2 linked regions of the Callithrix jacchus genome follow. The protein of the gene in region 2 purifies or fractionates together with the protein of the main gene of each other region. This does not show direct contact. Links are inferred from orthologs where the notes say so. Each region holds a gene or a part of one and is shown on either strand. Other genes may lie near its edges.

Region 1 (4,205 bases), on a different chromosome or scaffold from region 2:
TTTCAAACTACTAGGAACAGCAGCTTTTAAGGCCTGCCCCACTGAACTCACTATTGGTATAAATTTAATAAAACATACTTATTTGCTTTCTGCCTGTCTTTCATCTCCCACTGAATACTGAACTAGTCCATTTGAATAGTTAACTGCCACAATTAACCACATGCAAACCTAAGGAAGGTCAGTTGAAAATAAACAAGGCTACCAAATAAAATAGAAATTTCCCCTGCAGTGAGACCTACCTGTGAAAATGAGTTCAGATCCCAAGAGTAGATCAGAATATGCTCATTTATGTCTGAGGCAATGCAAGACCATATACAAAAGAATAAAATAATTTAAAGATAAGCAGATGTGAGTACAATTCCCTAAATCTAGTAGGAAGCTTAAATTCAGGGCCCTTTTTATCTTTCAGTACTGACTGTCTAGGCAACCATCTTTGAAATCTCTCAGCAAGATCTCCATAATAACAACCTATTACTTGCTCTGAAAATGCATGCATTAACTCAGATTAATGATGAGTCATTAGGAAAAAGATACAATCTTACATGAAAAGTTAAGCAATTAATTTCAAAGGACTTAAGTTCTGGCAAAAAAAAAAAAAAGGCATTTATTTATTTATTTTTAAAGAGAAAGAGAAAGGGGGAGAGAGAACAGGAATCTTGCTCTATTGCCCAGGCTGGAATGCAATCTAAAAATAGGTATTAATAACCTCTTTTATGCTTTAAATTTAATTTTATGTTTTAAAATTAAAAGTCCAACAATTTCTTACCATCTTCAAATTCTAAAAAAAAAAAAAGGAAAACATACAAACAACAACAAGAGTATAGCAATACCCGGTACAGCTTAATTCAAGGCCTCTTAAAATTCACATACAACTTTCAAAAGACCCATGCTTCTGAAGTATTCATAATCCGGTGATATCACTATTAACTTATAGCACCTCTGAAGCTTTTTAGGTGTTATGTATTAAAAACTGCATATATTTTCACAAAAGTGTATGATTTGGCTTTTAAAACATACATCACACCCGTTTTATGTTCAAAGACTTATAACCTATTACATCAGTTAAAATATTCATTCAGCTTCTCTGAGACAATTGTCCCCAATCCCAAAGCAGACAGGCTGTTAGGCAAAGGAAGCAAAAAAGTAAAGCATGTTTTAAACCCAGTCACTAAAATACCCTACTCTCACTCATCCATGGTTGGAGAGAATCAGATTTCACTTTGCAGTTCACAGACATGTCTGCTTCTCCATGTTGCTTAGTGCTTGCCAATAATGCAGTTGTCCCGCTCAATGGAGAAGGGCCCAGAGTAGAGGACCCTTCCTGTGACAAGACAATAGGTATCTCCAAAAGAAAATATTTTAACGTGGGCCCAATTTTTAATTACAAAACATTTAAACGTGTAATTTTTATATTACATAGTACTGAAATGAACAGTACAGAACCACGTCTAACAATGAAGTTGGTAAAATTACTCTAAAAGCAAGACAACCGTTTCATATTTCTTTCAAATAACTCAAGATAAGTGCTTAGTCACAGTCAAATTCGTGGATTGGGTTACTCTTAAGGGAGTTGAGATCTTACTAAACAGCAGGTAGGCAATCGGTTAATCTGTAATTCGATGCACTTTGTAATACTAGACTAAACTCAAAGATAAGTTTTGGTGCTAAAGTAAGTGCTAAATTTTTAAGTAATGGATGAAATTCTAATTTGAAATGCTTTCAAAACAATTCCATTCTAAAAAAGAGGCCTAAAGGCTCCTGGCACTTGTAAATAATTCTCCATGGCCAGTATAAAGTGGGTTCTATCACATCATGGGGGGGGGAACCTGCGTTTTAGGTGACCCGAAACTCGGACACCTCTTTTTAGACTGCAGTGGAGGAGACTGTATTGTTCTATGATACAGATACATTCTATTTGACGCTCTGACGAAAAATGCATGCCCCTAAAACCCAAACGTGAAGTTTCCATTAAAAGTGAACCAGAGCAGGTAGACGTCCTATATCTTTAAAAGCCAGACACGTCGAATTTACAGGCTCCTACAAGTCACACCACTATGACGATAGTATCTGCTATCACAACAGTTATTTCAACGACTCCAAGTAGTGGCAACATAACGCGGATAAATATTTAGAAGGAGCAAGTGGCTATGTGCAGAGACCCGGAGCCCGCACACGGCTAGCCAGGACCGGTAGCTAGTGACGCCAGACACGGGAGTGAAAGGATGGGAGCCAGGAACCGGGCGGCCTCAGACCACCACCACCGCTCTCCCTCCCGACGACAACAAAAACCAGACACCGACACACGCCCACGCTCAAGACAGCCAAGGGACCCCCATTCACAACCCCGCCGCCACCCCCGCCCTGGTCCTCAGGACAACAGGCCTAAGGCCAAGGGAGGCCTCCGACCGCAGTCTGGGCCTTGCAATTGAGCTCTGCGGCGGCTGACGCACGGCCGGTGCAGAGAAGGCCCAGCCCGGGCTTCGACTCACACTCAAGGAGCGCCGTGAGGACGCGCGGCCACAGAAGGCCTCGCTGACTAGGGGGCGGGGCGGGTGAATGGGACCCGACTGTGTCTCCTGAAGAACAGGGTCGATACGCGATCCACCCGGCCCGAGTGAAGGCCAGGCCCAGTCACCGCCCGCCGCAGGCAGGCCCAAACCGCAATGGTGAGGCCAACCAGCACGCAATCCGGGCGCCACAACCTTTTCCAGCTCAGCGGGCGACTACTCACGGTGTTCGGTGTTAAGGAGACTGCTGGCCGGAGGCTGACGAGAGCCGCAAGGCCTCCCCGAAGGAAGAGAAAGGCTAGGGACCAAGCCACTACAGAAGCGCGGCGCAGCGTCTGCTTTATAGGAGAGCGCGCAGGCGCTAAGGACCCCGGGGCGCGCGGCGTCACACAGAGGCTGGGCTGGCCACGGACATCGCCTGACTGTAGGCCGGGGATGGCGGGGCGGGCCCAGGCCGGGAGGCGGCGGGCCGAAGGGCTGGGGAGCCGGGGAGCCGGGAGAGCTTTCGCCTTTTCCCAGTCCTGAAAGCGCCGCGCTCTCTCCTCAACTGGGTGCCGAGCTCCAGCTGGCCTAGAAAGGTCTTTCAGGCAGGGGTGCCCTAAGCCAAGTGAAAGACCCTAGTTAAAAAGCGTGGAAAAAACAAAACGGGGCGTGTGCCTACGCCTATGTGTGTGTTCCTGGGAACAACAAAACGGGGCGTGTGCGCGCGCTTGTGTGTTCATTCCTGGAGGGGCTGTGTGTGTGTGTGTGTACGCGCGTGTGTTTATTCCTGAAGTGTATGTGTGTGTGTCCGCGCGGGGGTTTATTCCTGGGGTGGGGGCGCTTGTGTGTGTTTTACTACTGAAGTGATACATCTTCTCCAGCCTTCAATCTTCACAGTAACCTTCCGAGGTGAAATAGTGATAGCTTTTTCGCATCTACAGTGAGGGAACAGGTTCGGAACGGTTAAGTGACAGAGCTAGGATTTGAACCTTTAGACTTAGGTGCTCTTAGCCCTTATTTCCTCCTACTGACTTCTGAAGAGGCTTCCATGCCAAAAATAGCCATCGTTGTAGAGAAACCACAAATTTAGAGAGAAGGCCTCCATCTAGCAATAGGTATCCACTCACTAAACATACTTTGAGCCCTGCATGCGAGGCGTGGTGTTGGGGATTCAGTGAACCAGGCGGCCAGGGCCCAGCCTGGACAGAACTGTTTTGTCTGGGGTGCTCCTAGGAAAGCTATGATGAGGTGAAGCTATGATAGGATGAAGCCAGCTATAAAGGAAAGGGAGTAGTTTGAAAGCCCCAACCCGCCCTGCTCGGGAACATTACCCTCCCCGCCCTAGGAGACTGGGCGCCAGGCTCACCTAGCCATCAGGCACGTGATGGTATCCCTGACAAAAGAAAGACAAAAGATACTTCCACACAGGGCCCCTTGAAGAAACCAGAGACGTACAGTGCCTCTGGGACAGGACGGGGTAGGAAGGCCAAGCAGCTCTTTGAGTTACCAAGTCTTTGTCTACAACCCGTGGTATCCAGTGTCTGCCAGGTGCCACAGCTGATGACAGAAGATGAAAGGCCTGCAGCTCTCAGACTTTTTCTGTGCAGCACAGCCGTGCCCTCAGCAGCTCCAGCTTCAGGCCTCCTAGGCAGGGCCCACTGGAGCCCCTTTGCTCCCCTGCCTATGGCATGCATGGTGGTACCTTATAAACTCTCC
Region 2 (2,536 bases):
TATCCTATGAACCCAGGACAACGTCCCCCCTGTGGCCTGAGCAGACCAGGGGGCCTCAATAAACATGAAGTGAATAATTCTCAGGGCATGGCTGGGCCGGGCTGAGATGGCAGACCAGAGGGACTTTGGGCTTGCAGGGGCCAGGCGCACACCTGGCCCAGCCTCCTCCCTGGCCTGCCCCCAGGGTCACAGTCACAGCAGCACACACACACACCCTGGAGCCCCAGTGGAGAGCACATTGTCCCTCTTGCCCTCCCCAGCACCCATGGGAGCCTGAGCAGGTGCCCTCTCCCACCATGCAAACAAATGTCAAGGATTTGAGTCCTAATCTACACGTCATATGTCGCACACACAGAAGTGACATCATAGACACAGGTGCTCACAGTCTTCAGGACTCTGCCTCTTCAAACAAATGCACAGCAGCAGCTGGCAGGCACCCCCTAGCCCAGCCTTGTAATCTCTCCCAGTCACTCCCACACAGGCCTGCAGCCCCCCAAGCCCCAAGCAGGCTCAGGCCAAGCCCCGGCGGGCAAACCACACTCATACTGCAGGTCCAAGCACCAACACGTCAGGTTTATTTCTCTTTCACTCTCACCTGAGAGCGGTACATCCAAATCATAACAAAACCAGGCCCCCCCTTCCCACAAAAAAAACCAGGGCCCTAGGGTAGGGAGCAGCCCCCTGGGTGGGCCTGAATCCCAACTTCAACCCCGTATGCATAGGGCCCAGACCAGAACCTTCACCCGAATGTGGCCAGGACTCCTTGTGCCCTAGGCCCTGTGGGGGAGACAGGCAGCACCAATGTTGGGGATGGTCCCCCAAGAACAGAGGCCGAGGCCCAGCCACCAGCCGGCAGTATCCACATCCATGTCCACCTGCTCAGGCCTGCAGCCTCCAGACCTCTAGCGACAGGCCCCCAGAGGCAGCCACCACCAGGTTGCCCTCAGCACAGACCTGGGAGGGGACAGGGACATGAGGAGTCAGGGACAGTGGCATTCTGGCCAGCTGGGCAGGGCACGTGGGGCAGGACCTTACCTTGGTGAACCCATTGTCGTGCCTTCGGGTGCAGATGGTCCTTGGTGGGTCTGTGGGCACGTGCACCTGGTGAGGGGCAACGGGCCAAGGTCAAGAGGGGTGCCCCTGGCTGATGGAGGTGGGGAGGGCAGGGGCTGGGCAGGAGCCTCACCCGGAGGGTCTTGTCAGTGGATGCAGTATACAAGGCTCCCAGTGAGTACTGGATCCCAGTGATGTGAGACCTGTGGCCCACGTTGAAGGACTGCGGGAGGAGGTCAGGCGACACTCAGGTGGGCCTCTCCCTACTGCACCCCCCAACACCACCGGGGGCCCAGGGGTAGGAAGGAGGCCTGAAGGGGAGGGATGGACAGGGGCAGGAGCCCCAGCAGACCCGGACATGCTGGAAGCAGCCGTTGCGGTTGGCGAAGACGTGCAGCAGGCCCTCGTTGTCACCAGTCCAGAGCTGCATATCCTGGTGGGACATGCAGAGCAGGTAGGAGTCCAGCTGTGAGAGGGACAAGGGACATGGCAGCTCAGGCCAGACTGGGCCTGTGACCATCCCCATCCCTCCAGGCCCCTGGAGAGGGCCCACCTGCAGCCGCTGCAGGACTCTGTTGGCTCGGCGGTCAACCACCACCAGGGTGCGGTCCTCGCTGCCTGAGATGATGTGCTGGTCATCTGCCAGCAGGGCCAACACAGGGCTAGAGTGTAGTCGCTGGCTCTTCAACAGGGCTGGGCCGGCTTCATGGGCAATGGGCCAGGGAGGAGGGAAATCAGAGCCCCTCAAAGGTCCCCCCAGCCCAGGGGAGCATCCTGGGTCTCCATTCTGTCTGGCAAAACCCTTGATCTGCTCATTCCCCCACTCCACAGAGTGACCCATCTCTCCTTTCCTGCCTCAGCTAAATCCAGGCCTCTGCCCATCCCTGTCCCCATCCCATAGCCCTCCTCCAGTCTCAGCTACTGTTCTCAGCACGGAGCTGACCAAGGTGGTCTCAGTCTTGCATCTGCCCTCAGGTTGGCCTGAAACACACCTCTACCCCACAGCCCTGCTCCAGCTCTGCCTGGACAAGGTACACGGGCCCTTCAATTAAACAAAATAAGAATGAATATAGGCCAGGCACAGTGGCTCACACCTGTAATCTCAGTACTTTGGGAGGCTGATATGGGCAGATCACCTGAGCCCAGGAGTTCAAGACCAGCCTGGGCAATGTGGCAAGACCCCGTCTCTATTTTAGAAAAAAAGAAAAATGGCCAGGCGCAGTGGCTCACACCTGTAATCCCTGCACTTCGGGAGGCAGAGGTGGGTGGATGTGAGGCCAGGAGTTCAAGACCAGCCTGGCCAACATAATGAAACCTCATCTCTACTAAAAATACAAAAATTAGCTGGGCATGGTAGTAGGCACCTGTAATCCCAGCTACTTGGGAGGCTGAGGCAGGAGAATTACTTGAACCCCGGAGGCAGAAGCTGCAATGAGCCGAGTTCATGCCACTGCACTCCAGCCTGGGCAACAGGCTAGAGTAA

Evidence for each region. Proteins that work in one complex are often made in the same cells at the same time.
Region 1: the proteins of FBXW9 (region 2) and SKP1 purify together in Homo sapiens (affinity purification with mass spectrometry; 6 studies listed by BioGRID and IntAct, with this or other methods). This does not show direct contact. The link is inferred for Callithrix jacchus from reciprocal best matches to the Homo sapiens genes FBXW9 and SKP1.

What each region holds. Positions count from the first base shown.
Region 1 is NC_133503.1:74,158,253-74,162,457, reverse strand, and holds the start of SKP1 (S-phase kinase-associated protein 1), read right to left. Parts: upstream 2,845-4,205; 5' UTR 2,732-2,844; intron 2,630-2,731; exon of another isoform or gene 2,490-2,629; intron 293-2,489; exon of another isoform or gene 240-292; intron 1-239. UniProt on the Homo sapiens protein: Essential component of the SCF (SKP1-CUL1-F-box protein) ubiquitin ligase complex, which mediates the ubiquitination of proteins involved in cell cycle progression, signal transduction and transcription.
Region 2 is NC_133523.1:11,507,764-11,510,299, forward strand, and holds the end of FBXW9 (F-box/WD repeat-containing protein 9), read right to left. Parts: intron 1,756-2,536; coding exon 1,607-1,755; intron 1,520-1,606; coding exon 1,406-1,519; intron 1,277-1,405; coding exon 1,187-1,276; intron 1,102-1,186; coding exon 1,036-1,101; intron 955-1,035; coding exon 880-954; 3' UTR 553-879; downstream 1-552. UniProt on the Homo sapiens protein: Substrate-recognition component of the SCF (SKP1-CUL1-F-box protein)-type E3 ubiquitin ligase complex.